Linked DNA regions of Notamacropus eugenii. The protein of the gene in region 2 purifies or fractionates together with the protein of the main gene of each other region. This does not show direct contact. Links are inferred from orthologs where the notes say so. Each region holds a gene or a part of one and is shown on either strand. Other genes may lie near its edges.

Region 1 (8,320 bases), on a different chromosome or scaffold from region 2:
ACGAAGGATAACAATCTGTGAGTGAGTGGCAACTTTTCTCTCCCCTCCCTTCCCCTCTCCTCTGGTGTTCTACCCAGGGGAAGGTACACTCCTTGGCCAAAAGTTGCCTTTTTTTCTTTGGGTTTACTGGCTACATCTCTCGCTCAAAGAGCAAGTCTTAAGCCCAAATCATTCTGGAGCTCAAGACTAGACAAGTCCCCACCCACCTAACACAGACTGAATGTAATAACTAAATAGTAACTGTTTCTCTTTTACCCAGGAACCCTGAGGGTCTTCTCCTGCCCAGTTTGATTTTTTTTTTTTTATTAAAGGGGCCATCCCTTGAGTAACTTAAAGATGCTTATTCATTGAATGGGTGTACCTCACTCAAAGTGAAAATGTGATAAGACCTTAGTTTGAATGGGCCAGGGTCATTGTATCCAGGGTCATCTCCAGTCATCCTGATGAATATCAGGCCACTGGACCCAGATGGCTCAGAAGAAGAAAGTGAGGTTGGTGACCTTGCACAACCCTCCTTCACTCAAATGAAAGTCAACTGCAAGTCATGTCATCATCTTGATGTCATGGTCCTCTTCAAGAACGAAGGACAAAACTCAAAAACCTATTATCAGTGATCTGGAATATTCTTTCATGTGGCTGTTAATAGTTTGCAGTTCTCCTTTTGACATCTCTTTCCTGCCATCCTTTGAAAGCTTCTCTGTTGGGGAATTAGAGCTATCCATGTCACATGGTAGGTTTTGAGGCATTTGAAGGTCTTTGCCCCGAGGCTAGATGATGTTCCTCAAGTATGTTGTGGAGGAGATGTCTTCTGGGAATGGGGTCGGGCAGCCTCTTCCAACTCTTAATCCTAGCAAATGTAGCATTTCTTCTGCGGCTTTCCTCTCTTTGGTCCCATTTAGATGCCCAAGACTAATGCCAAGGAGTTTGAGGATGTAGACAGGGGGAGAAAAGAGAACTTTTTTCTATACATTATCTATAGGGTATTTAAACACATTAGCTCAGTGCTACCAACTGGACTAACCCACAACTTCAACATGTCCAGAAGACATTCTCTTTTCTCTCCAAGCCTCTCTTCATACCGACTTTTTTATTATTGTCAAATGCACCACTAACCTTCCAGTCATAGGCCTATTAGTGATTGGATTTTAGAAGCACTTATGAACTACTGAAACTTCTTAAGGAGGAGACTGACTTAGCAGGACCAGTGATCTAGGGAAATCATTCTGGTAGCAGCCATGTGGAGGATGCAAGAAAGTGAAGGTAGAGACCAGTTAGGGGGTATTTATTATAGTTGTTCAAATGAAAAGAGATGTGGTCCCGATAGGAGGGAAAACCAGTTGGGAGAGGGGGCAGCCTGAGAGTGAAAAGGGAGGGGAAAATGATGATCTGGTGGTACAATTCACAAAACAGAGTCAAGAAAGACTCCAGGGTTGTGAACCAGTGTAGCTGCAAAGATGGTGGTGCTCTCAACAGGTGTCAGGAACACAGGATGTCAGAATCAGAAAGGCTTCCAGAGTCTCCTTGGGGTCACGGTTATATTTTCCATATTAAAAAAAAAAAAAGCAATGAGACTTTAATGACATTTCGGATAGTTTGGGGCTTAAATATTGGGGTATTTCTTTTGTATAAATTTCACCTACCTATTCTATCACTGAGCCCACACCTCACTCTCCTCTCCAGTCTTCAATCTCTCCCTATCTATTAGGTGCTTCCCCCACTGCCTACAATCACACACTCCATGCTGGGGTGTGCTGGTAAATGTTCAGGAACCATCTCTCCAGGGGGGCAAATGTAAGGCAGGGCATATTTTTAAGTGTAATCTACATTATTAAAACTTTCTTAAGTTTAGACAATTAACAAAATAATTCAAGTTCTGATCTGCAACAATTTCCAAAGCGTAAATGCTCACATTGAAAATTTAATCATCAGCTCCCAAGCAGGTTGGAGCTGGCTCCAGGATATCCCTGCACCTGCATTTCCCCATCCTTAAAGTCCATCCCTCCATCTTAATGTCTCTCCCCTCCCTTCAGTGCCTCAGTTCTTTGGAGATCACCTACACGAGGTGCCTTGGTTTCTCCTCACTCCAAAATCATCCATGATCTGCCAATCACTCTGTTTCTCAGTCCACAGCCTTTGACACCACTGATCACCCTCTTCTCTTCATCATACTTTTCTCTCCAGGTTGCTGTTTCCTGGTTCTCCTCCTACATGTCTGACCTCTCCTTCTCTGTCTTCCCCCCTTGCCCTGGATAGCTGTGGCTGCGGACCAAGGTCTTGTCCTGGGTCCTCTTTCCTTCTCATTCTGTATTCTGACACTGGTGATTTCATCAACTATCATGGACTCAGTTATCTCTGAGTAGGTGGCTCTGGGGTCTCCTTGGGCAGCCCTAACTTCCCTGCTGATCTCCAGGCTTGCAAACTACTCAGTGGGTACCTCAAACTGAGTGTTCTGCACACATCTTAAACTGAAAAAAAGCAACTCATTTTCTTTTCCCCAAATCCTTCCCTCATCCTAACTTTCCTGTTCCTGTTGAGAGCCCCCTTCCTCCCTGTCCCTGAAGCTCACTTCAGCCCACAGACAATCAGTTGTCAAGACCTGCATTTCTCCAACACACCAGTGTCAAAGTGTGCAACTGAGAAACAGTCAGAGCAATTGGCAGATCACTAGTGGTTTTGGAGTGAGGAGAAACCAAGGCACCACGAGGTGATCTCCAAAGAATTGAAGCACTAAAGGGAGGGGAGAGACATTAAGATGGGGGGATGGACTTTGAGGATGGGAGATGCAGCTGCAGGGGTATCTGCTTTCCTTCCCTGACACCCCTCCCTCCATGCAATCACCTCTAGTGGCTCCCAATTGCCTTCAGGATCAGACACAGAATCCTGTTTGGTTTTTACAGCCTTTTGTATCCTGCTGCCTTCCAACCGTCTCAGTCTTCTTATACCTAATACTCTGAGTGCAGTGATACTTCCTCCTTGTTCACATTACGCTCCATCTCCCAACTCCAGGCATTTTCCCTGACTGTCCCCTCCACCTGGAGAGCTCCCCCTCCTCCTTTGTGTCCCCTGGCTTCCCTTGAGTTCCAGCTAAATTTTTGCTTTCCCTGAAAAGTTCTCCCCAATGCTCCTTTGTGTTCCTTCTCTCCAAGTCGGCCTCTCTCTACCTTGTTTGCAGACTGACTTCTGTATGTGGTCTCCCCCTTCTTTAGGGCAGGGACAGCCTTTCTTTGCACCCCACCGCGTTTAGCTCAGTGCCTGGTAGACTGGTATCTAGCAGGCAATTAATAAATGCTTACTGATTTAAGTTTCCACAAAAATAACCTTAGTCAATCAGATGTGATACAAAAACCTAGCTAAGATACAACCAATGTTTTCCCCTACCTACCAGTCTCATAAAGCATCCAAAAAGGCAATCTGGTCGTTGGGCCTGATTTGTTTCAATTAAGCCAGGCTGCCTCTTGGAGGTCACTGCTTCCTTGTCTAGATCTTTAGCCCTTAACAAAGGAGGCAAAGTGGAGCTCCCTGGCCTACATCTGGCAGACTCCGTTTATCTTTCCTTGGTCTTCTGCAGCCCTGGGCTTCCCCTCCCATTCTCCAGGATCCCTCTGAGGTCACATCTGCTCATTTCTGGGTTCCAAAGGTGTCACTCTTACCTGGACCTTTGAGGGCCCACGATCTTGAACCCCAAGAATCCCTGGAAGGAAACTGTACCTATCTGAGAGAACCGAGTCAGGGAGCGGCTTACGAGGCCCCACGCTGTCCTGGCTTTGGGGATCTCCAGGGGTGATGTGGGTGTCACCGAAGGGAGGGCCTCAGACAAAGGGGAGAGCTGGGTCATTTCTAAATCGTTGGCACAGACCTGGCAACATTCACACACTTCACAACTCTTTCCTGTTCTTTTCCTCTCCGTCCTGGGGAGCCGCTCACGACCTCCTCAGCTCTGCTGATTCCTCTGGGCTCTTTATCTAATGAGACTGTAGCCCCTGCCCCCCAGGGCCTGGAAGGGGCCAGCTGGGCCCTCACTGATGGGGACCTGGCCCCCAACCTCGCTCATCTGTGAAATGGGGGGGCCTAGAGCAGAGCCTGCCTCACAGCGGGGAGTCAGGACCCGGCCCCTGCAGTGCTGCCTCCCGGGGTCCTAGACTCCCTCCAGGGGCTGGTGGGTCCCTGCAAGAACAGCAGCCCACCCCCAGATGTGGGGCCGCAGGGTCATTCTGCAGATGGGGAAACTGAGGTCAGGCAGGGTTCCGGTGTGGAAAGGCGCGCGTGCGCACACGGTGTTTGATCAAGGCCTGGCTGGGGGGGGGGTGGGGCTCTCACCATCCGGGTTATCAGGCAGGCCCCGACCCTTCCTTAGCCCATTATACCGATGGGGTGCCCTGGCCTCGGGAGGCGGCCCAGCCCCGCACAAGGATGGGGGGAGGGCTCTTGGACGCTACAAGGGCCTCTTTTCATTGGACAGACGGGGAAACCGAGGCAGGTGGCGTCTGAGGGGCTGGCACGGGGTCCCGGCTTCCCCCGCACCACGCTGGGTCCCCCCCGCCCCCCGGGGTCGCACCCCAGCTCCCCTCCGGAAGGCCCAGCAGCCCAGCGGGGCTCAAGATGTCCGCCGCCGGGCGACCAGACACCACACGTGGGCAGGCTGCACCCGGCGCCACGTGCTCCACCGCACTCCGCCGCGTTCCGCCGCGTTCCATTCCGCTCCCGAGCGTGCCCCACTCGCCGGCCAATCAGCGTGCCGCTCCCACCTCGAGTCCCGCGCGCTCGCGCGCCCTGCGCCCCGCCCCGGCGCGCCCCGCGTTCCTTCTGCCCCGCCCCCTAGGCCGGACTCGCTCTGGGATTGGCTGGCGCTGGCTCGGGGGCGGGGAGCAGGAGCTGGTTGGCCGCGGGGGCGTCACGGGGTCGGGACGAGCTCCTTTCCAGTCGCGCCGAGGGGGCAGGCTCAGTCTTTCGTCTCAGTCTCAGCCAGCAAAGGGCTGCTCGCGGACGGACTCCTGCCCGCGCTCTCCACCACCACCGACGTTGCCTCGGCCTCGGCCAACGGATCTGCACCCTCCGCGCCGTAGTCACGCGCCGCCACCATGGTGAAGCTAGGGAAGGTGAGAGGCGGCGGCCTAGCGCCTCCACGCGCCCCCGGGGCTGCGGGGCCTAGCGGGCCTGAGCGGGCGGGAGCGGGGAGGAGCGCGACGGCGCGTGCGCAGCGCGGGGCTCCCGGGAAGTCTCGCGCGACTCGGCGCCGCCGTGGCCGTCGCTGCTTCTGCTGCCCCTGCGGGCGGGAGGCGGAGGGCCCTGGGAGCCGGGAGCCCAGAGCAGCGGGAGGGAAGGCGGGGAGGGAGGCCGCGCGTGCGCGCTGGGAGCCGAAGGGGGGGGGGGGGAGCTCCGGGGCGGGGGCCGCCATGAGGTCATCTCCGTGCGCCCAGCTCCCGCTGGCGCACGTGTCCAAGCCGCGCGCACGTGGGCGCGGGGCTCGCCCGCCATGTGGCCCCTGTCTGACAGACCCGAGCCGGGGCCGCGTTCGCGTCCGCGGGTGGGGCGGCATCGGGGAGGGCTCAATCCTCCGTCTCTGGGTGCGCGCGGACCTCGGGTCCCTTATCTGTCAGAAGAGCAAGTCTGACCACGTGGCCCCGGTCCAGCTGACCCCTTACGTCCCGATGTCCGACTCCTCCCTGGGGTGGCTGGGGGCGGCAGCGGCCCTGCCCTAATGGAGAGGAGCTGGGCACTGACTGCCCTGCAGGACCCCAGGAAAGTGCAGGGGATGGGGGGAATCAGCCCCTAGGAGGCTGAACTCTTAGCTCGTGCTTTCGGCCCACGTGGCCTTGCTGCGGGGAGTCCTAGTCAGCCCGAGTCAAGGGGTTGGGAAAGTCGGGGCCATGTGAGACCTCGCTCGGGTCCTGGTTCACAGTGAATGTTAAAGCTGTTTACTGGAATGTGGCGAAGTCGTTCCCTTGAAACAGGCTGGAGCCGGCACTCTTTGTTGTCTTGGAGCACTTCGCCTTTTAACCTGGTGATCTTCCATTTCAGTGTGTGGGAAGCCCGAAGTGGACCGGCATTTTCAAATATTCTGAACTTGTTGGTATCAGGAGGGAGGCTAGAAAGGGGGAAACCTTTCCAGAAGGAGGACTGCTTAACCTGAAATGAAGGGTTTTAGACCCATTTTAAAGCTGGTAAATTTTATAAGTGTAATTGTTATGGTTGATGCTTCTGAAGAGCACTTGAGAGAACTTGTGCTGCTGGAATATAAATGTTGTGCTCTTTTGGTCTTTTATTCTAGGCTGCTAAAAATCAAGCTGAGCCAAAGAAAATGGCTCCTCCCCCAAAGGAGGTAGATGACAGTGAAGATGAGGATATGTCAGAAGATGAGGAAGAAAGCAGTGGAGAAGAGGTAACTTTGCAACTTCATCCAGAAATGATTAGTTTTGTTCTGTAAAGAAAAAGAGGAGCAAACCAAGCTCTTCAGAGTTTAGAAAGGAATTTGTAGGCAAGAATTTCACTATAGCTTGATCCTGTGTAATTGTTTCATTGGCATCTGTTCATTTTAAATGTTCATTAGATGAAGAATCATTTTGGGGGGCCTGGTCACAGCAATTTTCAAATCTGGGTTTGATTTAAGGGAGAAATTAAGTAACAATCCAGACTATTTGGGGGGGTAGGCAGCTTGATTCATTTCTCATTTAAGGGCAGAGGTGAGTCTTGGGCACCACACTCTTTTCTAGGAAAGATGCTTGGTAGTACACATCTCAATGTGGAGTTAGATGAAATTTACAGGGCTTTTGTGAGCACTTTCTGGACTTTGCCCAGGGCATGTAAATGTGGGCTAATTAATGCTCGCAACTAGGCAGGACCCCTGCCAGCAGCTTTTGTTGGGCTGATTGAGTCCATTGATTGAACTAGAGTTGTGGGCTGTTAGAACAACTCTGGCACAACTAAATATGATGGGCTCACTGAGGTGATGATGTCCTTGGAAGGTAAGAAATATTCAATGTTGACAGAAAACAGTGTTGATTTAGACACTTTAAAAATCTAGCATAGCCTTCAAAAGTAGAGGTCCAGACATTAACTTGGATAGCTGGGATGTAAATTCTATCCAAAAGTGAGAAAGTACCTAAAGTACAGACTTGGCTCCTTTCCATATACTTGACTGTTTGCTGGTCTGTAAAACAGGTTAGACCAAGTTCTTTCCTAGCTCTGACATGACTTGGGAGGATTGGGAATTTCTGAATCTAGAGTCCTTAAGAGGCAGTATCCTAGTGGCAAGCTAGGATTACAGACCTTTGTTCAGAGGGTAACGTCCAAGCCCCTCCTGGGTGAAGAGCCCTGGCAAGCCCGAGGGAGATATTTAGACCAAACTCCCTCAGGGAGCTTATCCTCTAGCAGTTTGGACCGAGTTGGGTGTGCAGTACTTTATGGTAGCTGGCGTGGAACAAATTGTATGATGTACCCAAAATAGAGCAGAGTAACTAGTGGAGCTGCATTGCCCTCTTTGGCAGCCAGAATACACTGTTGGATTGAATTAGCCATGTACAGTGCCTGCTCCTCCCTCCACCTTTCCAAACAGTTTGTAGTCCAGGCCTGACTTTTGAGTTCCAGCACTTCATACCTGTGTGAGCAAGTCCTCAGGGTGCAGCTTGTAGGAGAGATGGATGGGGGGGGGGAATCAAATGACCTCCCTTGTTTGTTCTTTAGCTCCTTAGAGTCTGGCTCGATATTTTTGTCTTGAGCTGTTCTTTTTAGGTTAAAAAAATGTTTTGTGAATTGTAACACTTGGTAAATGAAAATTATTATTACTAGGTTGTAGTTCCTCAGAAGAAAGGCAAAAAGGCTGTGGTGGCCACACCAGCAAAGAAGGTACCACCGGCCAAAAAGGCTGTTGCTGCTGCCATGCCAGCCAAGAAAGCAGCTGTGACTCCTGGTAAGAAGGTGTCCACCCCCACCCCAGCCAAGAAGGCAGCAACCCCCGCCAAAGCTGCCATCACACCAGGCAAGAAAGGAGCTACTCCAGCTAAACTAGCTGCCACCCCAGCAAAAGCAGCAGCCCCTCCAGCCAAAGGGGCAAAGAATGGAAAGAACGCCAAGAAGGAGGACAGCGAGTCTGAGGAAGACGACAGTGAAGATGAGGAGGATGAAGAGTTTGAGCCTCCCAAAGTCACAAAAATGGGAGCCACTCCCGCCAAGCAAGACTCTGAAGATGAGGAGGAGGAGGAGGAGGAGGAAGATGAGGACAGTGATGAGGACGAAGAAGATGAGGATGGTAATAATTGTTTCTATTCTGATCATGGTAAAGAACTTTGTTAGCAGAGTCATAAGCTCTGCCTGGAGTGAGATT
Region 2 (7,571 bases):
CTAAACTTACCTCTTGGCTACTTCTACCTATTACTCCTAGCTTTATTTTTCTAAAGCCAAACATAACAGGTCTAATCCCTGTTTTAGATGACAACCCTTCAAATAAACACCCTAAACCACCCTTATCCCACATTTTCTCTTATCCAGTCTCAACATTCCTAGTTCCTTCAGTCAGTTCTTAAGTGACATGAACTCTAGGCTCTTCACCCTTCTGGATGACCTTAACAGAAATCCAGTTTATCAATGTGCTTCTAAAACTGTGCTGCCCAGAACATAACACAAAACTCAAGTGTCTTCAGGGTTATGTGCAGCAGGACTATGACCTCCTTCTACATATAGTCTGGCATGACAAAAAATAAAACAAAACAGTGAAAAATTCTATCCTATGAACCTATTTGCATCAGTTTTCTCAACTGTAAAATGACAGTAATAACAGCACCTACCTCCCAAGGTTGTCGTGAGGATCAGATGAGATAATATTTGTAAAGCACTTAGCACAGTGCCTAGCACCATTATTATTTGTAGGAGTTGTGATGGTATCACTACTACTACCACCACCACATCTACCACCACCACCACCATCATCACCACTACCACCACCAACCACTCTAAGAGGTTGTTTTCCTTTTTAAAATGAGGTACTGTGAATTCTATCCACCGAATGAGAAAATGATAAACTATTAAATTTTAAGTCAGTCTTCCACTGCCCTGAACACTGGCAGTGTTACACCTACTTTTGAGTGCCTTTATCACAGGACCCATCAAATGTTCCTGTACTGGAGAGTATAATGCAATTTTGAACTACCTCAGAAAGATATGGGTACAATACTAAGCTCCCTGATCTGCAGAGTGTCTAGGAAGATATAAGGGTTTCAGACATATGCCAGGACTTCAGTCTAACAACTCCTATGGACAGTACAGATAAAATCCAGCTTACACACCAGACTGTTTCCAGAGGATTCTTGATACCATCAATTACCTTAGACCTAATTCAAACATTAATTGGAGAAGGGAAATGTCGGTCACCTGATAAACACAAACTTACTTAACTGAAAAAGTTAACATGAGAGGTCATCAGACTACAACAAAATCAAAAATCTATCTATAAGTACCAGAGGACATGGACTATGTTTTAATTATCTTTATGTTTAGGTCTATCACAGTACTTCATAGAAAATAATCATTTAATAAATGTGTTGCTGAAATGAAATATTGGAATATGCCATAGGGGAAATTTTTATTTTAGTCTAATAGTAACCTAGTGTTGAAAAATATAAAAAAGTCTTTATCATATCTTTGTTTTAATTTTATTTTGCTTACATCTCAACTCAAACTGAAAAAAAATAAATGGTAACGGGGAAAAGAGAATGTGTTTTTCTTGCCATGTAAAGTACTACACAAAATTACCTAGTTGTCTTTGGACTTGATCATAAAATACAAATGAAATATAACTTGCAGTGTTAGCACTGCACAAAAGCACTCTCTAGATACTGCAAAGCAAACTCAGTCAATGGATGGAAACAAAGAAGAGTAGCAATAAGAGATATTACTGAGTCCAATCTATATGTATGACAAAGTGGATTTGGAGTCAGAGGGCTTGGGTCTGGAACCTTCCCTCTAATATTAATGTCTGAGTGACCTAGATCAAATTAGTTATCCTTTGTGACTCCGTTTCCTAACTTGTAACATGAATTAGATTTGATAACTCCTGAGATTACTTCCAGTTCTACATCTAAGATCTTTTGAACAGTACTAAGGAAAAATTTTATATCCCAAGTGAGGATCTTAACAATATAGCTAATATCTTAATTCGGTTTCACATTTTTAAGCACTTAGAGGAAGCTAAGTAGTTAGACTAGGTCTGAAATCAGGAAAACCAGAGTTCAAATATGACCCCAAGCACTTACTAACAGTGTGACTTAAAACAAGTTATTTAATCTCTATTTGCTTTAATCCACTGGAGAAGGAAATGGCAAACAACTTCAGTATCTTTGCCAAAAACAAAACAAAACAAAACAAAAAAGAAAACAACCATGTATGGTCCACAGGATCGCAAAGAGTCAGGAGTCAGACAGGACTGAACAGCAACATAGGACTTACCAAGTAAAAGACACTGTACTGTTGCGGGAAATGCAAAGATAAAAAGGAGTTTTTTGTTGTGTGACAATATGTAACACAACTGATTAACTTGGCTAAATATTTTAGTGGCCATATGAGCTACAGTACTACACTTTGAACCATGATAAATGGTTAAATATTTGTATTCATACATTTATTTCTCACCTGAGATCATCTTCATTCCCCTAATACCTACCGGCTTCTCCACCTTATTAGCTCCCTCCTCCAACAATTCCACTACAATTGTCATCTGTCAATGTATTTTATGCTATTATTTAAAGGCTAGTTCAATGAGTCACTATCCTTTTGCACTAAAAAAAATGTTCAAAAAACATTTAACACCCTCACCATTTTAAAAATCACAGCAAGCACAAAAACAGTGTATTCTTAATAATAAGACCAAGTATATAAGGGGTTCATTAGGACAGTTTCTCCCAAGATCTTTGAGTTTAAAATATTTCTTTCCAAAAAGGAAAGGGAAAAGATAAAATCAAGCGTATTTTACCTGCTGCACACCTGCGACTCTCATGTAGGAATCCAAAACAAGCAGCAAAGGCATATGGACATTTTTGCCTTTAAATAACTTGGAAGCTGGGGAAGAAAACAAACGAAAACTATTATTCGCTGCAGCTTTTTAAAAGCAGAAGAATGAAAGAAAATAAGAGAAAGCAAGTCCTTTCGTTTTCAATTCTTTTCCTAAAAGCGATCTGTGCTCCCCGAAAAGGCTGAGCCAATGCAGAAAACTGTCTGCAAGAAGATTCCTTGGAAGGGCCCGTGCTTTTACGGACGTGGTTATATTCCTTCTATTGCCATATTTGCCCCAAGTTTAAAAAAAAAAAGGAAACAACTACAGGATTACCGTGATCAGAGTACGTTAACATCAGCATATCCTCTAGTATCTGGATCAGGGTTTCTATCTGTTTTCCTTCCTGCACATTTTGCAGCCTAACTATCAATTTCTTCAGAGTTTCCTCTTCTTTTTCTTCATCCCCGAGGCTGCAGCCACTGGCCATGACGGACCCGACTCCTTCCCGAGGTGCCCCCTGCCCCTAACTCTGAGCCGGAGTGCTCCAAGACTGAACTGGGGAAGGCTGACCCAGCGGATTCCAGAAAGTCCCCAATGCAGGCATGCTCTGTGGCTTTGGCCTGTTTGGGAAAACAGCCCCTACCCCGCCCTTCCTTCTACGTCTTCCTAGCGCCCCACCCCAGGGCCGGAAAATGAATTCGATGCAAACTTTGAGGGGAGGAGATAAGAGGAAGCCGCTAGAAGCCGCTAATCCTGGCATCTTCTAATCCAGTCTGTCATAAATCCAAAATTACTGCAACTAGAGCACCAGTCGGGCCTGGATTCTGGTCCCCAGGAGTACTGACCTGCCCAGAGACCAAGGCAGATGGACTCCAGTAGGCTGGATTTAAAAGATTAAGGATTACTTAGCCCTAACCAGCAGAGCAGAGGAATTCTGGTTAGAATGCAAGAGATTGCTACAGGGGAGTGACAGCTCAGAGAGGGAGTGGGAGAGACAGACTGGAGAGGGAGTGGGAGAGAAAGCCTCCAAGAGCTCAGGGAACCTAGGAAAGAAAGGCATGGTAATTTAGTTCCTTCCTTACAAATAGAAAGCCAAGATTTTGTTAGAAAAGGCATTGTCCCTTGGAAGGGACAAACACTTTGGGATTTAAATCCTGACATTAACTGAACATGAGTGTCCTCAATTTTGTAACTATTTAAGAACGTAGCCAACCTTTGGCATGAAGAATTCACAACAGTGAGAGAATGCAAATAAAGGCATGGCTCTGGAATTTGGGGATGGCAATCACTGTCCAAAAGAAACTGCCTGAGCTCGGGATTTTTTGTTTTGCTTTTTAATTTGGATGAGACCAACTTCAATTTTATCACATGGATTTTGTTGTGATTCTTGGGTTTGAGCCATTGGAGGAGGCATTTGAAAAGATGTTAAATTCTCCCCAGAAGCCCAGAGATATTTCCTGAAATGTTAGAGATGTTGACAAATATATTGGAGATATAGACAAATGTGACAATTGCATCCCATCTAATTTCTCTGAAGACAGGTAAATGATGCTGCATTAACATAAAAAAAACTTCTCTCTCTCCCTCCCTCTCCATTCCTCCTTCTATCCACTGTCCTGTCTAGATGCCCATACACGCATATATATACATATATAGAGTCTACGTATATATGTATATATTCACGCATATATAGACTTTCTATGTATTTATAGATATACATATATATGTAAAATCTGCAGAATTGTCAGACACATGTCCATTACCTACTGATAGTGTCTCTTGGATAAATAAATTGCAGTTATTTGTCTCTATTATGTGCTGGTTTATTTTGGCAGTAGCTAATAAGGACTCTCAAAATCTTCTCAAGACAGTCCCAGAGGAATTTCTAGCTTTCTCACTTTTTGTGTTATTCTGTCTTTTCCCCATTCTATTATACTTCCACTGTATGAACTCCATACTGTCATATCCCTCTATGTCAAACCAGCCAGCAGCCCCCTCTTTGACTCCCTGACTAGCCTTGGTGGCTGGTTTCCTGTTCTGCTCATTGGCTTTAAGGCTTCCTGCCAGTCATACTTATAGGTCAGCAAAATCTATATTCCATGTGTTTAAGAGTGACTGAGTCAAAAGCCCAGCCACAACATAGGCATTATCAGTTTGATGTTGCATAAATTTAGATATCTGTTCAACTAGCTAATACGGATAGGCCAGCACAAATCAGATGAACAAGTTTTAATGACAGTCAGTGTAACATACCCCACCAGAAGTTGCTAGCACTTCACAATTCAGCTAGGAATATGACAAAAATGAATAACCTGAAGCAGTGTCTGTGTAAATAAACAATTTATGAATTAAGCTAGCTGATAATCAATAAATGGATGATTAATGGTTTTTCTCAGTAACCAAAGACACTTAAGGGAGACACTGAATGCTTTAAATATTTTTTTTGAAAGAGCATGCCCCTGATTGGAGAAATCAATCCTGATTGGTAGAATCCTACCAAGATGGGAAAAAGTTTTCAGATCCTTCTACTAAAAACATGGCTTGGTCATGAGATGCAGCCTCCTCCAGCAATCTGAATAGAGGAATCCATCTCTCCCCAGAACAAACTAATTGGTTTTTGCCCTCATAAGCTGGGTTACAGTAAACTATAATGAAGGGGTGCCAGGGTGTACTTTTAATGCCATGAGGCTGAAATCTACCTGGATTAGATTATGTTTACACTTTAGATAGAAATAAGGTCTCCTAGTTGTGTATGTTCAGGCCAGTGACCAACTGACTGACTAGGTAGCCTCACTGTGGAGAAGCAGCTACCTCCAAGTTCAGCAAATGAATACTCCATGTTACTCGTGTCTCTGCCCACAAGAAAGGTCCCTTCTCACAAAAATGTTATGGAATAAATGAGCTGACCAGGGCTGTGCAGCTCAGATAGTTTCCATTGCCCAATGAATTCATGCTTGCATAGGCCATAATAATGAGAAAATTATGCAGCAGTGAACCCATGAGAGAGAACTCCACATCACACATAGTATATCAGGCCATGACCCCAAATACTGCAAACCTTGTCCATTCTGAAGATACATCCTAAATCCCCTGCCCAGGAAGATCCCATGATGGGAATGGGCCAACACACTCTTGAAAAATTGACTATATAAGACCATTACCACAAAAAAGAGTTCTCTGTATATTCTGATCGCCTATACAGAGTGTGGAGTCACCAACCTGATAATAAGTCTATCATCAAAGGCCTAGGAAAGGATACCTCCCTCTAACTAGGATACTAGACTAGAGTCTTAATTGAGTATGGGACATTACGTGATCAGACTGGCCCTTTAGGGAAATCACTTTGGTGATTGAATGGATAAGATGGATTGGATTTAAAAGAAGCTTATGACAGGGAAACCAACCAGCAAGGCATTCCAATAGTCCAGATGTAAGTGATGAGGGCCAGCACCAAGCTGGTGACACTATAAGAAGATAGAAGGGGATACACTTTAGAGATGTTGCAAAGGTGAAATCAACAGACCTTGGCAACCGGCAGAGATAGTGAGGATGTCTAGGTTAAAAGCCTAGACAACTAAAAGGATGGTGCTACTTTTGACAGTAAAATAAAAATTTACAGGAGGTGAGGACTTAGGGAGAAAAATAATGACTTCCATTTTGGACAGGTTGAGTTTAAGATATCATTTGATATCTAGTTTGAGATGTTTGAAAGGCAGTTGGAGATGTTATATTAGAGATCAGTAGAAAGGTTAGGGGTGGATAAGTAGATTTGAGAATCATCAGCACAGAGATAATAATTAAATCCATGGGAGTTGATGAGTACATCAAATGAAGTAGTACAGAAGGAGAGAAAGGTCTGTCTAGGACAGAAAAAGGATCTTATGGGACACTCATGACCTGAATAATAATCCAGTAAAGGAGACTAAGAAGAATGAGTCTGATAAGCAGGAGGAGAAGCAGAAAAAGTTGTGTCCTGAAAACTTAGAGAGAAGTTAGTATCAAGTGGGAGAGACTGATAGTATTAAAGGCTACAGCAAAGTCAAAGGATTGAGAAAAAGCCTCTGGATTTGGCAAGTAGAAGATCATTAGTAATGTTGGAGGGAGTGGTTTCAATGCAATGATGAGATCAAAAAAAGATTGTAAAAGGCTAAGAAGGCAAGAAAATGGAGGTATCTATTGCAGATGATCTTTTTGAAGAGTTCAGATACAAAGGGCAAAAGAGATATATAGGATGATAGTAAGGATGGAAGGATCAATTGAAGGTTTTTTTGAGGATAGGGAAGACATGGGCATGTTTTTAGGTTGTGGAAAGAGCTAGTAGACAGGGAAAGATTGAAGATAAGTGAGAGAGGAGGGATGACTGACAGATATTTTGTCAGATGGGGCAGATTGGAATGGGATCCCTTATGGAGAGGTTTGCCTTGTCAAAATAGTACAACCTCTACATGTGTGTTTGGGGTCAAGAAATAGTGGCAGAAGCCATCTGAGTGATATCAGACAAGGAGAAAGGGAGAAGGGACTCTGAGCAAAGGGCCTCAGTTGTTTTTTTTTTTCAGTAGAATATGAGAAAAAAGTTCTCAGCTGAGGTGGGGCCACAGTCATGTTTTGAAGTTTGAGGGAAGTGTGGAGGGTGTTCTGGAGAGAGTTTCTGCTATTTTGGGGCTCCCTAGCCATTTCCTTCACAGCCAAGAGGTACCTCCTCACAAGGCTGGGGAGAATCAGTTTGCTGCTTATTGCAGTTGGAGTGGAAAGCACTGGGTGGGATGTGCCAATAAATTCTCTGAAGAAAAAGGGGGATCTAGACATAAACTCATAAGTGGACTTGTACATCTCTGCTAGACAGGTTACAGGCTAATCTAAGAGGGGTGCTCAATAAGGATTTTATGGTTTTAATAAGTATTCTCTTGTGTTAATTTGTAAGATTTTT
Region 3 (7,752 bases), on a different chromosome or scaffold from region 2:
TGCTGTGATATCCCACACTACCACCAACCCTTTCCCCTATCACCTAAGATTTTTTATCCACCTATACCTTAGAACAGAGGTGTCAGACATGCCCAGATTAAAATATAATTGAGAAATATTTAAATAAAAATTGAAATATAGTAACACAGATAACATTAATGTGTGCTTTTCTAACCAAATATGCAGCCAGCAAGGATCCTTAATTTAGTGGTCCCTCTTTCTAAGTTTGACATTACTGCCTTAGAGATCCTCTTAGCTAATGTTCAACCCCTCAATCATTCCCCTTATTTTGCCTCCATCCAGGTCACCCCTACTTTTCTAGAACTCTTCTGGCCACAACCTACATTGAACCTGTATCCCAGTTTTGAAGTTTCTAATTCCTTTCCCCCATCATTCTGCACTGATAAGATCCCCCTAAAGACTCCTCAATTATCTGAAAACACCAGTATGTTAATTTGCTTCTGTTTTAAATTTACTTCCACAAGATCCTAACCTATCCAGGGGATTCAAACCCCTTCTTAATGAAGAACCTTCAAATTCAAGAGTGATGATTATTTGGGAATTTACCTGGGGTAACTGCCAGTAATGAAATATTCTCTTCCCCACCCACTTTCCCAGTGGCAAAGCTACCACCTCTCTACCCTTTTTCATTACATTATTTAAGAAATTCACTTCAACTCACCAAAAACAAAGTTGTCTGGCCTGAATATCTGGCCAAAAGGTCCAGAACGAACAGAGTCCATGGTTCCAGGCTCAAGATCAACCAGTATGGCCCGGGGAACATATTTGCCACCTGTAGGAGAAAGTGCAGAGTAGGTGTAGGCTGGAGAAAGAAAGGGAGGGCTCCGGGGGTCCCTTAATACGTGGCCCTCCCGCTTCCATTCTAGTTTTTACCACCAGGTGGCAGTCGAGAACTAGTCTGCGATTACCCGTGGAAGAAAGGGGGGTGTGTGCGTAAAGGCGAAGAGGAAGATGACCAGAGCCTCTGGAAAGTGGAGAAAGAGTCTCCCAAGGGTAAATGGTTCCCCCCTATTTCAGAAGGCAGAATCGAGGGGAGAGTTCCCTTCCTGCCCCTCACCGGTGGCCTCATTGTAGTAGACAGAGATCCGGTCCAACTGCAGGTCGCTGTCCCCATGGTAGGTGCCAGTGGGATCGATGCCATGTTCATCACTTATCACCTCCCAGAACTAGGCAGACAGACGAGTAAAAAGTTGAGAAGAAAAATCGATTAAAAATTCTCCTCCCCCACTTTCATGATAGGCTCTCAATTCCAAAACTGCTCAATCCAGGAGTCATTTTTTTCCCCTAAAAAACCCAGGGGATTTCCTCCCCCTCCCTTCCTGGAACAGATGGGATGCACAGGAAGCTTGTTACAGGATTATCCTGCCCTATAAATGCACGAGATAATAGGACTGAAGGAGGCCGACTCATTCCAGGTAATCCAGGAGGACGGTTGAGGCCAGATGCCTGGGTCTCTGGCTAGGAAAGATAAAGGTCACTGTCGCCCTCCCCTTCTTCCCCCATCAGGCAACGCCCCTCCGATGCGCACAAAGAAAAAGGCACTGCAGCTGCTACCCACCCATCCCGCAGAACTCACTATAGAGCGAGGCTGTGGGAGGTGCGAGAAAGGAAAGGGGGAAAATGATGGACAATGGGAGCCAAGGGTGGGGCTCCTTTCCTCTATCCAGCATGGCCCTGGAGCGCAAGGGAGTTCTTGCCCCGCCCCAACCGGGCTCCGCCCTTTTGCCACAACGTTGCAAACTCTCCTTCCCACTTCCTTTCAACCCCCATCCGTTACACAGTATCTTCGAACTGGGGGGCAGGGAGAAGGATCACTTTTACCCTAAAATGTTGTTTCTTTGCTACAGTTTCCATTTTTTTTCTCATTATGTATTGGATTCGCTTTCCTTGTCACCCATTTTTTAACTCTTTGTCCTTGTGGAACTATCCACAAGGAACACTAGACAACGCGCGGGAACTCGCACCCTACCCCACCCCACCCCCGCTCCCGCCCTTAAAGGGAGGGCTTTCAGAAAGGGAAGGGGGAAAAGTCCCCTCACCCTTCCACCTCACAAAGGAGAACGAGAGAAATTAGGAAAATTCCACGTTTCATATATTTTTTGGGGGGGAGGGTGGACTACGAGTCCCCCCCAAACCCCACCTTCCTATTTCATCCCCTTTTTCTCCAGCTCAGTGCACAATGCAGCTCCTCACCTTTCCCTTAGGATTCGGGCAAGAGTCACAGTTTTGGGCGGGGAGAGACAGAGAGAGGCAGAGATGCACATGGGACAGCACTGGCCTCGCTTTGTCTCGCGCGTTTCCGTTCATCCATCTCCGACACAAAAGTCTCTTAGAGATCCCTTTTACACCTTCCCTCAACCCCAGCCCCAAAACCACAAGGGGAAAGAGACACACCTTCCAGTTAATCCATTAAAATCTTAAATAATTTTATTGGTCCCTTCTTAACGGATAGAAAGGACCAGGTTGCGACACGCCAACAAAACTAAACCAGGTAAGAGAATAAGGGGAGAAAAGCTACAGATTTCTCTAATGAAAATTCCCGCCGCAAAGAAATGCTTAGATTATTTATTTGTTGGGTCGTGCTGCTTTGGGCAGGGAGCGGGAGCTAGCGACAGTCCCGCCACTACTTTTTTTTTTTAGGAAATCTTTTAAATTTTCTTTCCTTTAAAAAAAAAAATCAATGGAGGTGAAAAGAATATGTAAAATCAAAATCCTTACCTTTGCACCGATCTGATTGCCACACTGGCCAGCCTGGATATGTACGATTTCCCTCATGGTTGGAATTTACTTTTGCTTTGTCTCAAGTTATGTGCAGGGAGGAGAGAATGATATATAAATATATATATTTTCTCCTTTCCGCTGAACAAGCTCTTTTTCAATAGAAGGTTCCCCGGAAGGTTGGAGCTGCTAGTTCAGAACACAGCTACACAAGCGTTCTGAGAGGGAGAAAGAAGGAAGGGGGGAGGGGAAGCGAGGGAGGAGAAGCAGGGCGGGTCGCGCTTGCGCTGCGTGGCCTGAGGGGAGGGAACCATGAAGAGGTAGGCGCCAGCTATATCGTGGACAAAGCCTGTCTAAAGAAGAACTGATTGGTCCATACCAGGCAAGTGTCTGGTACCCATTGGCCGCTCCTCCGGGGATCAAGCGCTATCTTCACCGGGAAATGTAGTTCTCTATTGTTGTCCACGCTGCAAAATGAAGAAGGGAGGAGTGGGGTGGGTGTGGGATATTTTTTTTATGAATAAAAAAAAAATTAGGCATGGCATTCCACTGTTTTGAGGTCTTTTTTTTTTTTTCAATTAGACATTAGAGGAGACTAGGATTTAGGTCTGTAGTAAGTGGAAAGTCTAGGGAAGCGAGGTAGTGATGTGATTTCAGGATTGGTATGTCCTGGGACTTCCTGCTGCAGCATTCCTACCACTGGCCTGCTAAATTCAAAGAAATGTAGGGAGAACCAAGTATGAGCTTGGGATAGACAGTTACAGGACTCACTGATCTTTCCAGGACTCAGGTGTCTAGCCTCTGATACCCCGAAGTTCCAGTTCTTTCTTGCGATCTTCAACCCCATCCTTATTTGCCTCACTGATCTACATCACCCACACATCTCAGCAATCCACCTCTTTTTCCTCTCAGGGGATAGTCACAATGGATGGAGTAGTGGTTTTTGCTCAGTGGGTGATTTCCTTGGGCGTTTTTGGATAAGGGTATTTTAAATACCCAAAGAGAAAATTACGCTAGAGACATTTCAGGACACAGATGCATCTGTCAAAAAAAAAAATGACTGGAAGGGACATGTATAATGAATTTGTGAAAGAAAACCTGACTCTTGGGAAGTCAGATACCTGGGTCCCTGAGGTGTATTCCTATGAATAGAACTGCGGTAATTGATCCAGGGAAGTCTAAGCTGAGATAAGGAGAGAAAATGGCTGAGGGGTTCAATAACTCATACATTTTCATGGCACTTTTATCTTGCCTCCCCAAATGTAGGACCCTTAAAAAGTATCAATGAATTTATAGGAGGTAGCTGTTTCCACACCCCATTCAAATCAATGTCCCTAGTATGGTGGATGTCATAGCAACATGGTCACCATGGTAACCCTTCCTAGGCACCTGAGCTGGAGATGAGGACCATTAGAAGGAAGAAAGATTGGGCTTGGGGACAGAGGGAGAAGAAATGAGTTTAGTTCAAATTCAGACATTTCTCATAGGGTCACTTTTCCATGGAACATAGAGGCATGGAGAGATATAATACTGTTTTAGAGTGATGTTATAAAATAACTAGGATTTATAAAATACTACAGGGTTTTCATAGCAATATATGTATAATATATACATATATGTCATCCCATTTGATTCTCACAGCAACCTTGTGTGGTAGGTGCTATATTTATTCTCATTTTACAGATAGTAGAAGTTAAAATGACTTAGGGTTCAAATTCAGATCTTCCTACCTCTGAGTCCAGCACTCTATCCGTTATCCATAGTCCTAGTAGGAGAAAGTTATATCATGTTATCAGTGGTGAGATTTGTCCAAGGAGCAAGTGATGTAATCATTTCCTTATTGAAAATTAGGTGAACTGGGACTTCTGGTTACATATAGGACTGCTTCATATAATATTCTATATAATATATACATACATATATAATATATTATTACATATGATGTATAATACTATATATAGTATTCACATAATATTTTATTTTTGAATAATAACACAAAGAACAGTAAGTCATATATATACATATGTGTGTATGCATGTATTTACATATACATATATTATTTTGAAGGTAGGTATTTCAGGTTTTATGCCCATTTAGAGAACTGGGATTGGACCTGTGGTTTCTTTTGTACAGTGAATTTCTTCCACTAGTAAAAATCTATACTTCTCTGCAACTTGTAGTTTTAAGAGAATTACCTAGGGCACTGAGAAGTTGTCAGGCCTGCACAACCAGCCCTGGGAGCTAACGACCCTCAGACTGATTATAGCATGCCAAAGGATTTGGGGGAAAGGGGGGGGGGGAACCTACAAAAAAATGTACAGGAAAACATCCTTTGTATGTAGAAGAAATCCTTGCCACAAGTTGTTCAGGCCTGAGTTAAGTGGCTTTATAATAGTCTGTAAGATCTGCATTCCCTATTCTATTTTAAAAGATGTTTTATTATGTTTTGTTTTTTTACACTTTATCACTTCCCAATAATCCTTCTTAGTATAATATTCCATTACATTTGTATGCCACAATTTGTTCAGCAACTCTCCAGTCAATAAATTACTTTTAAAATTACAAGCATTTTTTTCTGTTGTTTCTATTCCCACTGAATAGGGAATATTCTGAAAAAAGAAAAAAATATTCTGAAAAAAAGAAAAAAAATCCTTGTAACAAATATGAATAGTAAAATAAATTCCTACATTGGCAATGTTTTAATATGTATGTCTTATTCTGCATATTTGGTCCATTCCGAGTAACATTCTTCACCAACAGTCTTTTAGAATCATAATTGGTCATTGTGTTGGTCAGAATTCTTATGTATTTCCAATGTGTTTATTTTTACACTGTTGTTATGGTACAAATTGTTCTTCTTGTTCATTTAAGATCAGCTGATAAAAGTCTCCAGAACTGTCCATTTTATCATTTCTTACAGCAGAATAGTATTCCATTATATTTGCATACCAAAATTAGTTTAGCCATTCCCCTAGTAGATAGTTCCCCCTTACTTTCCAATTTTTTGTTACCTCAGAAAGATCTGTTACAAATGTTTTTCCCATTAACCCATTTTCATATGGGTTCTTTCCCTCTCTCTTCATAGTAAGTTGTATGGCTGGGTCAAATCATGTGCACAATTTAGTAACTTTTGGGGGGCATACTTCCAAATTGCTTTTCAGAGTGGCTGGACCAATTAAAAAACTCCACAAACAATGCATATATCTGTTTTCCCTGAGCTCCTACAACATTTACCGTTTTCCTTTTTTGTCACCTTTGATGATCTGATGATTTGGAACATTTTTAAAATATGGCTATTGATAACTTGTATTTTTTCCTGTGAGACTTCCTTGTTCATATCCTTTGTCATTTGGGGAATGACTAATTCTTCCAATCAATTTCTTATATATCCAGAAAATGAGACAATTATTAGAGAAACTTACTGCAAAACTTAACTATCTCTCTGTTAAGCTTAGCTACATTGATTGTGTTTGTGCAAAACTTTTAATTTTACATAGTCAAAATTGTCCATTTTATCTTATGTAATCCTTTGGTCACAGACTTTTCCCCTATCCAGATAAGAAAGGTAATTTCTTCCTTTCTCCTTCATTTTATTTATGTGACCTTTTAAATCTAAGTCATATAACCATTCGGATCTTATCTTGGTAAATAATGTGAGGTGTTGGTCTAAATCAGACTACTTTCCAGTTTTACTAGCAGTTTTTGTCAAACAGTGAATCTCTTCCTCAATAGTTGGGGTCATTTGACGTAATCACCCTGGTGAAGTCCTTCCTCACTTCAGATCTAGACTATTTCTATAGCCTGCTGGTTGGTCTCCCTGCCTTTCCCCACTCCACTCCATCCTTCATTCAGCAGTCAAATTGATATTCCTAAAGGGCAGATTTGACCATTTCATCTCCCTATTCAATAAACTCCACTGGCTCCCTAATACCCAAGATCAGATATAAAATCTGTTTGGCTTTTAAAGCCCTTTGTAATTTGGTTTTTTCTACCTTTCTTGTTTTCTCACGCCTTATTCCTCTACACATACTTGGCAGTCCTGTGACATTGGCCTCCTTGCTGTTGTTCCGAGACAATCCATCTCCTGACTCTAGGCATTTTCATTGCCTGTTTCCCAAGCCTAGAATGCTCTCCCTCCTTACAGCCACCTCATAGTTTCCGTAGCTTCTTTCAAATTTCAGTTAAAATCCCACCTTCTGCAATAACTCTTTCCCAAACCTCCATTCTCTTTGTGCCTTCCCTTTAAGGTTATGCCCAATTTATCATATATATATATATATATATCATTATATATTATTATATTATAGTATAGTATACATTATAGTATATATTTAATAATATATTATATTATATATTATAATATATTATATATATATCATGTTTATACACAATTATTTGCATGTTATTTCCTTCCCCCCCCCACCATTAATATGTGAGCTTCTTGAGAGCAGGGCCCAGTTTTGTTTGTCTGTGGACTTTTTTGGATCCCTAGGGCTTAGCACAATTCCTGACATATAATAGACACATAATTAACAAATACTAGTTGATGGGAAAAAAAAAACTTTATAGCAAGTTTCTTTGATAAAGGCCTCACTTCTCAAATATGTAATGAACTAAATCAAATTTATATATTAAAAAAGAGCTATTCCCTAACTGATATGGTCAAAGAATATGAACAGGCAGTTTTCAGAAGAAGAAATCAAAGCTATCAATAGTCACATTAAAAATTCTCTAAAGCCTTATTGATTAGAGAAATGCATATTAAAACAACTCTGAGATACCACCTCATACCTGTCAGATTGGCTAACATGACAAAAAGAAAAATGACAAATGCTAAAGGGGATGTGGAAAAAAATGGGACTATTGATGATACTGTTGATGAACAATAATGAATTGTTGATGGTATTGAAAACTAGTCCAACCATTCTGGAAAACAATTTGGAACTACATCCAAAGTTCTATAAAAGTGTGTGTACCCTTTGACCCACCAATACCACTACTAGATCTATATTG
Region 4 (8,219 bases), on a different chromosome or scaffold from region 2:
TAGAGACGGTAGGGGACACCTAGAAATGGATTCCTGCTGCAGAACTGACTTGGAAAATCACAAATTCACATTGCCTACAGTGTTCTGGATCTTCATTCATTCTGTTCAATGGTTCCTAGTGACATTTTCATGGAGTTCAGAGGTCACTTAGGAGTTTTGCTGGTTGCCCACAGGCCTGAGCTAGATACCTCTGGTGTCAGAGACTGCAAGCCAGCCTCAGAACAGGAAAAGCTGGCTCCAAGTCTTACTATTCTCTGACACATGGGGTCTGGGGGGCCCTAGGTGCTCTGGGAAACTTGCTAAAGTTATGGTACCAGTATGTTGTGGCACAGGGGACTTCCTCATTGAGGAATTTGCTCCAATATCAATGGCATCACAGTCTAACCCTTCATCATTTAATAGTTGATATGGAAGACTGAAAGGTTAGCTGACTTTGGCACCTAGATGGTGGGGAGTGGGGCAGGAACTTTCACTTACCCGCTGGCGCAGGTGAAAAGTAGGTGGCTTGGAACTGCCACTGCTGTAGCTTGTGGAAGGCAGGGGTTCCTGGAAGCTGGTCCTGGTCTTGGCTGCTGGGATGGCTCCAATATCAGTCTCCCCATAAGTCTTGGTAGTTGAGTAACTCTCTTCATAGTAATTGTCATAGTCAACTAGAAGAGTCAGAGGAAGAAAAGGGTAGAGTGCCAGAGACCAAGGCTTTGGTAGAAGCAGCTAAGTGGGGCAATACCACCTGGGCACTGGAGGCACGAAGACCTGAGATCAAATCTGGCCTCAAACACTCACTAGCTGTGACCTTTCACTGCTGTCTGCCTTAGTTTCCATCCTGTAAAGTGGGGAGAATAAGAACATCTATACTCCCAGGGTTGCTGTGAGGCCCAAAGGATAATATTTGTAAAGTGCTAAGCACAGTGCCCAGCACATAGTAAGCACTATATAAATGTTGGAGGCCAAGGACTCCAGACTTGGGCTTAGAACAGCCTTGTACATTTGGAACTATGCCCAAAGGTCTACAAAAATGCGTATACCCTTTGACCCAGCAATATCACTTCTAGGACTGTATCCCAAAGAGATCATAAAAATGGGAAAGAGTCCCACATTTATTTATATTTATATATTTTATTTAATATCTATTAAATTTATTAAGTTATTATAATTATTAAAATAATACAATTATTAAATTGTTAGAATTTATTAAATTTATTATTTGATAAATATTTGTTAAATTTATTGTTGATTATTAAAATAATATAATTATTCAATTAATATAATTATTAAATTATTAGAACTTATTAAATTTAATATATTTATAGCAGCTCTCTTTGTGGTGGCCAAAAACTGGAAATCAAGGGGATGCCCATCAACTGGGGAATGGCTAAACAAGTTGTAGCATATGAATGTAATGGAATACTATTGTGCTATAAGAAATGATGAACAGAAAGACTTTAGAGAGACCTGGAAAGATTTATATAAACTGATGTTGAGTGAAAGGAGCAGAACCACACAGCCACAACCACAGTGTGTGATGAATTTTTCTGGTGGACTTAACCCACAGCAATGCAAGGACCTAAAAAAATTCCCAATGGACTCAAGGCAAAACGCCTTCCACATCAAGAGAAAGAACTAAGGAATTGGATTGCAGAATGAAGCAGACCATTTTCTCTTGTGTTATGTTTTGTTTTATGGTTTCTCCCATTCATTTTAATTCTTCTATGCAATGTGACTAAGGTAAAAATGTACTTAATAAGAATGTATGTGTAGAACCTATATAAGATTGCACGCCGTCTCAGGGAGGGAGTGGGGAAGGAGGGGAAAGATATATGGAAGTGATTGCAGAAAACTGAAAATAAAATAATTTAACAAAAAAAAAAAGAACAGACTTGCAGGCTGCCAAGGTCAGGCCCCAAGTGAGTTGCCTCCAACTATGAAATAATTACAGTCATCCTTGCTTCCCAAACTACCTGCTGTGGCTAATCCATGAAATGAGATCATGAATGAATGAATGGGCAGGCAATGTGACTGGGAGGAAAAGATGTCCATGCAAACAATAAGGATAACAGAAGCCAGCCCAGCCCAGTTGGGCCCTGGCACACTAATGCCAGGCTCAGCCAGAATCATAGGTCTCCTCCCTCACCTTTATCAGTGAGAGCCCTTGGAGCCTCGCTTGGGAGCAGCTCATATTTGTCTAGCCCAAAAGTACTGGCTTCTAGCTGCAGAGAGGGACAAGGGGTCACAGAACAACCAACCATGCACTTTGCCTCCAAACAGCCCCATGGCACTGCAGGCAGCTAGGGAAAGGCAATGCCAAACCAGGCCAGGCCCTACCACTCCTTAGGGTGAACCTGAAGCCTTCTAGGATACAGGAACCACACTCACCTTCATCACCTTCATCCATGTCCTCATCTTCATCCTGTCCCTGTCTGGAACCATAAGCTTCACCCTCAAAATCCTCTGTGGCACAACAGAAAGATACACTGTGAGAAAAGTTGCCTTCCTTAGTCACACTCCCCAAGTCATCCCACAACTGGAGAAGCATTTCATTTCTGCTCAATGAGTCCCACCCTTCCTCCTCACCTGCATATTGGTAAGAAGAGCTGGCAGTCACAGGGGAAAGCTTGGTTCTCTGACTTTCATATTCATAGATTTTCTTTTCATACAGTTTTCGGGTTGAACCTAGATTCACGGACGGACAGGTGAGTGTTCCCAGAGGTCCCAGAGAGCATCCCCCAAGTTTGGAGGGCCTTTGGAACTCAGGGGGGCCTGAGTGGTGATGGGGTGGGAAGGTGCACCCATGACGGGAGAAATCACAGAACTCCCACCAATCCACCAGGAGATCTCACGCTCTTACCGTGCAGGTGTCAATCAACAATATGCCCGATCACATTCGGTTTCAAGCGCTGAGGATCGGGAGGTGGCTTCTTGGGCATGGGACCCGCCAGAAAGGGCCTAGGTGCCCTCAGTTTACATATGGGATTGGGGGCGGGGCAGGCGGCCTCACCTACTCGGTGCCCTACCACACCCCCTAGGCTCCAGGAGGGATGGCGGAGATGTCGCCCCTTCCCTCTCCCCTCTCCCGGCTCCCTCCTCTCTCTGCCCCTCCCTCCTCGTCCACACTCACCCACGACGGGCCCGTGGGGGATGTTGTAGAGCTTCAGCAGGCGAGCGAGCTCCTGGTCCGAGAGGCCGCGGTAGTCCTCCATGGCGGACACCTAGGGGGAAGCCCGACGGGGCGGGCGCGGGTGAGCCGCAGCGATTCGAGAAGCTTCGACGTTCCTCGGCCGCCCGGCCCGCCCTGAGGAGAGAAGCCAGGGGCGGGAGTGCTTACCAGACAGGGCAGAGATGGCTGATCTCCTCAGCAAGCGAGCGAGCGAGCGAGGGACGCGACGGCGACGGCGGGCGGGCGGGCGACGACAGGCGCGACGGGAAGTGAGCGCCGGGGCGTGGTCTGGGCGTGGCCAGAGCCGAGGGGCGGGGCCTGTCCGGCCGGGGGCGCCAAGGCCCGAGCCCAGGGGCGGCGGGGGGCGGGGCTTGGCGAGCAAAGGGGCGAGGCGGGGCTGAGCAGGGACTGCGGGGGCGAGGCTGAGCTGGCCGACAGGGGAGGCCAAGGGGGCGGGGCCCAAGGCTCCAACTGCAGAGCCAAGGGCGCTAAGTGTCCATAAGGATCTCAGTGGTAGCCTAGTGCCTGTTTGCATGGCTCGTATTTTCTCGTCTTTTTATTCATTTTGCGAGGCACTGCCCAGTGCTGTTTTGGAGGCCCTTTGGTGTGGACCCCGTGGATTTGGCTCCTCAGACAGGGCAACAAAGCCTAACCATGAAACATTGTTACGTATTTTCCCCCCAGAACTTAAGAAGCATCCCTAAAAAGGATGAACCTCACCCAAACACATAGCAAAATAAATAATGCGGAAAAAATCAGGGCTCTCTAGCACATTCTTCAGGGGCCCCTGGGACCTCCCATTGTCTGGGTCTGTGGAAGGGGCAGCCACACAGTCCCTACCCCATTGATCATGCTTGACCACATGCCCTTGTGAGGCAGAGCCCTGTGCCCCCACTTCTGGCCTTGTATGGGAAGAAGCAGGAGGGGCTTTGGAGTCTGGGGTCGTTTAGGTCATTCTTCTCTCGTTGCTGACTCATCTTCAGCCCCTGTAATTGGAGAACTTGCCTGTTCTGTAGCTACATAACAACAGAGGCTCTGGGCAGAAATCTGGTAGGGCAGCCATCAAAGTTGTTGTGTTGTGGTTTGTCCTTACTCAAAAAGGACCAGGACATCTGGGAGATGATGATATGACTTGCATGGAATTGGATTTGACTGACCATCAAATGCACTAAACAGCCCCAGCTCCTTGAAACTCCCTCCCATTTCTATACAAACAAGGCCAGTGAAGGGCGCACAGTAGCTAGAACATACAAAATGGCCCTGAATCCCAAGAACCCCCTGCCATTTCTACATAAAGCTTCTGGCCAGTAAAAGAAAAAATTCACTTGCCAAAAGCACAACAGCCCAAGACTAGATTTTGCAGTGTTTTTTCTTATCCTCCACCCAGAGCAGCTCATGAAACAGTAAAATACCATAACCCCCTCCCCCTCTCCAGCCTGCTGAACTATTTTGGCTTCTGCTGCTGCAATTACACTCAACAAGAATTTATTTTCCACCAGCAGCTTTCCTTAGTTTCCATTTCACAAAATTCATGTCCCTACAAGATACTCTTGGTGGCTCCTGACCCCCTTTTCAGCTTTCTTTTGTGTATTGTGCTTGCCCCATTAGATTGTGAACTCCTTGAGAGCAGAGGCCCTCTTTCTTTTTCTTATCTGTATCCTCAGCGCTTAGCACAGTATCTGGGACATAGGAGGTACTTAATATATCTTTACTGACTATTTCTTAAGAGTTTGGGATGCATGACCAACAAGATGGCAGCCTAGATATTTTCACAGATCCTCAGGAACTCTCAGACCTCTCCAAAATGGGAATTATGAGTGGGAGCTAAAGCAATTTCAGCTCTCTACAGGGTATAAGACATCAAATATCCAAACAAGGTAAAAACTAAATTAACCAACAACAGAAAAAGCCAACATTCCCTACCCTCTAATGAGCCCTCACCCAACATCCCCTCCTCTGCCATTCACTAAGCTCCATTCATTGGCAACAGACCTCAATTCCATACCCACCCCCAACCCCCATCCCTACCCACAGTGCAGTAGAGATCCAAACTCCAAATAGCAGAAGTTCACTCAGGCTGTCATAGCAGCATGGCAGCATTCTGTGCCATCGGACCAGAGAACTGAGGGACAGAGAGAATGGGCAAAAGGGGGAAGAGGAAGTAAGAAATGTATGGCACTTCATTGAGCCTGAGAAAAAGAGCCCAGCATGCAGGTGTGGCCAGTTCTACCCACTAAAAGTCATTTGGAGCAGAGACCTAGTAAAGGCTAGTAAACCAGGAATTAACCAGCAAAGGAGGCTGAGACACTTAACATCCAGCCCCTATGAAAACCATCAAAGGGGAGGGAGTGAGAAAGTAAGCAATAGAGGAAGGAAGCTATTTTTTAAAAAGATTAAAAGTACCAGAGGAAGAAGCAGATAAATTGGTCATGAAGAGCTTTGAAAGTCAAACAGAACATTTTGTATTTGATCTTGGAGGCAAAAGGGAGCAACTGGAGTTTACTGAGTACACTGGGGGAGGAGGTAGAGGGTGACAACATAATCTTACCTGCACTTTAGGAAAATCATTTAGTAGCTAAATGGAAGGTGGACTAGAAAGGAGAGAGATGAAGCAGGCAGACCCACCAGCAAACTATTGAAGTAGTCTAGAAGCACGGAGATGAGGACTTGCACAAGGGGGATGGCAGTATCAGAGAAGAAAAGATGAAATATTAGAGAAATATTGCAGAGATGAGATGGACAGATCTTGATAACAACTTGGATATGGGGGGGGGGGGTGAAAGATAGTGAGGAATCCAGGATGACTCCTGGACTGAGAGACTAAGGTGCTAGGAGGGTGGTGATGAACTCTACAGTAAAAAGGAAAGATGGGAGAGAAGAGAGAGGGTTTAGGGGGACAGAAAATGAGTTCTATTTTGGATATATTGAGTTTAAGATGTCTACTGAAAATCTAGTTCAAGATGTCTGAAAGGCAGTTGGAGATTAGAGAGTGGAGACCAACAGAGAGATTGGGCCAGGAAAGGAAGATGTGAAAATGGTCAGCATAGAGATGGTAATTAAACTCATGGGATCTGATGAGATCAGCAAGTGAAATAGTGTAGAAGGAGGAGAGAAGAGAGCCAGGACAGAACCCTGAGGGATTTTAAGTGTCCCTCCAGTGGAGGGTGTGATTTGGATTAGGATCCAGCAAAAGAGATAGACAAGGAGATGTCAGAGAGGTAGTAGGATCCCAAAGTAGTAGTAAGATCCCAAGTAAAATCAGTGTTTAAAAGAAAGAACCCAAAATAGGAACCTCAAAAGGCTTAATTCCACAAGATACACAGAGAAAAGAGAATGACTAAATAAATTTGTGGGCCATGAATCAAAGAATAAAGGTCTAAACTAGGCAGAAAGGGAAGATAAGTGATGAAGAGAATGAAAGAAAGAACTTCTTTTTAGAAAAAAGATACAGGAAATAAAAATTTTAAAAACTAACAAAGCACTGATCAGGAGGAGAAAAAAGAGAATTCTACTTGATTACTTAACCAAGAGGGGGAAAAGAAGGGAAGAATTAAATAAATAAATTTTAAAAAATAAGAAACTAATAAGCAAAACTCCAAAAATCAGGAAAAGGAGCAAAAAATAGAAAATGGGACTTGTGGATGAAGGGGGAAAAGCCAGTGGGAATAGGGCCACCTTAAAAAAAAGATTAAGGTAAAATAACTGAAGAGACATTATACTGTGTTTAGAATGGGAAAAAAACCCGTAATTTGTAGAAAAACAGCATTAGGAAAAACTGGAGGAAAACATAAACCCAATTTGTAGCTTTAAACGTGATTGGGTTAAACAATCCATAAAATGAAAGAAAGTGACAGATTGAATAATAAAACAAAACTCCACAGTCTGATTCTTACAAGAAACATATTTTTTGAAAAAATGGGGAGGCAGAGCCAAGATGGTGGAGTAGAAGGACAAACCTGCTCTATGTCTCCCCCCATTGCCCATAAATACCTGTAAAAATGACTAAACAAATTCTAAAGCAGCAGAAGCCAAAAAATGACAGAATGAAACAGATTTCCAGCCCAAGACAGCCTGGAAGGCCAACAGGAAGGGCCTACTGCACCAGGTTCAGCACAGAGCACAGCCTGGTCTTGGCATGCAGCAAGGACAGGACTGGAGCATGTCTCAGGGTGCGGAAGCATGGGTAGCAGCTGAGTCTCCCAAATTTCTCAACCCACAACACCAAAGATAGTTTCAAAGGTCAGTAAGAAAGCTCTTTCACCTGGATGGGAGGGGAGCATGATCTGGCCCCAGCCCTGGCCCCAGGGCAGCAGCAGCCACTGCAGCAGCAGCGTCCACTTTTAGAGCCCTTGGCCTAAAGACCCTGGGGGAATCAAAGAGCTGATCTTCGTCCCAGTCCAGAGTAGCAGTCATGGGGTGAGAAGGAGCACTGGTGCTGGAGTGGTGGAGCAGGTGGTGACTGTGGAGAGGGAACCCTATTCATAATTTCAGGACAGAAATGAGTGATTGTGGTTGCTCACAGATCAGAGTACAGGCCAGGAGATTGTGCCCTTAATTGTGCCACCTTAGAGGAACTGAGAACTTACAGGTCCCTGGAGTATACCCTCCACTTGACAAAGGACTCAAAAGTCAAGTAACTGGCTGGGGAAATGTCCAAAAAAGGGGAAAAAAATAAGACTACAAAAGGTTACTTTCTTGATGAAAAGGTATTTTCTTCCATCCTTTCAGATAAGGAAGAACAATGATTACCATCAGAGGAGGACATCAAAGGCAAAGCTTCTACATCCAAAGCCTCCAAAAAAAATATGCAATGGTCTCAGGCCATGGAAAAGCTCAAAAAGGATTTTGAAAATCAAGTAAAAGAGGTGGAGGAAAAATTGGGAAAAGAAACGATAATGATGCAAGAAAATCATGAAAAAGAAGTCAACAGCTTGCTAAAGGAGACCCAAAAAAATGCTGAAAAAAATAACACCTTTAAAATTAGACTAACCCAAATGGCAAAAGAGGTCAAAAAAGCCAATGAGGAGAAGAATCCTTTAAAAAGAAGAATTAGCAAACTGGAAAA

The links.
Region 1: the proteins of LRRK2 (region 2) and NCL purify together in Homo sapiens (co-immunoprecipitation; 3 studies listed by BioGRID and IntAct, with this or other methods). This does not show direct contact. The link is inferred for Notamacropus eugenii from reciprocal best matches to the Homo sapiens genes LRRK2 and NCL.
Region 3: the proteins of LRRK2 (region 2) and TUBB purify together in Homo sapiens (co-immunoprecipitation; 5 studies listed by BioGRID and IntAct, with this or other methods). This does not show direct contact. The link is inferred for Notamacropus eugenii from reciprocal best matches to the Homo sapiens genes LRRK2 and TUBB.
Region 4: the proteins of LRRK2 (region 2) and EMD purify together in Homo sapiens (co-immunoprecipitation; 3 studies listed by IntAct). This does not show direct contact. The link is inferred for Notamacropus eugenii from reciprocal best matches to the Homo sapiens genes LRRK2 and EMD.

Annotation. Positions count from the first base shown.
Region 1 is NC_092873.1:58,566,065-58,574,384, forward strand, and holds the start of NCL (nucleolin), read left to right. Parts: upstream 1-4,796; 5' UTR 4,797-5,078; coding exon 5,079-5,096; intron 5,097-6,268; coding exon 6,269-6,379; intron 6,380-7,785; coding exon 7,786-8,245; intron 8,246-8,320. UniProt on the Homo sapiens protein: Nucleolin is the major nucleolar protein of growing eukaryotic cells. It is found associated with intranucleolar chromatin and pre-ribosomal particles. It induces chromatin decondensation by binding to histone H1.
Region 2 is NC_092874.1:212,966,440-212,974,010, reverse strand, and holds the start of LRRK2 (leucine-rich repeat serine/threonine-protein kinase 2), read right to left. Parts: upstream 3,292-7,571; 5' UTR 3,132-3,291; coding exon 2,978-3,131; intron 2,710-2,977; coding exon 2,624-2,709; intron 2,618-2,623; exon of another isoform or gene 1-2,617. UniProt on the Homo sapiens protein: Serine/threonine-protein kinase which phosphorylates a broad range of proteins involved in multiple processes such as neuronal plasticity, innate immunity, autophagy, and vesicle trafficking.
Region 3 is NC_092873.1:84,575,341-84,583,092, reverse strand, and holds the start of TUBB (tubulin beta chain), read right to left. Parts: upstream 3,215-7,752; 5' UTR 2,797-3,214; coding exon 2,740-2,796; intron 1,188-2,739; coding exon 1,079-1,187; intron 794-1,078; coding exon 683-793; intron 1-682. UniProt on the Homo sapiens protein: Tubulin is the major constituent of microtubules, a cylinder consisting of laterally associated linear protofilaments composed of alpha- and beta-tubulin heterodimers.
Region 4 is NC_092879.1:9,699,732-9,707,950, forward strand, and holds the start of EMD (emerin), read right to left. Parts: upstream 3,505-8,219; 5' UTR 3,323-3,504; intron 3,207-3,322; 5' UTR 3,198-3,206; coding exon 3,116-3,197; intron 2,671-3,115; coding exon 2,572-2,670; intron 2,449-2,571; coding exon 2,374-2,448; intron 651-2,373; coding exon 478-650; intron 1-477. UniProt on the Homo sapiens protein: Stabilizes and promotes the formation of a nuclear actin cortical network. Stimulates actin polymerization in vitro by binding and stabilizing the pointed end of growing filaments. Inhibits beta-catenin activity by preventing its accumulation in the nucleus.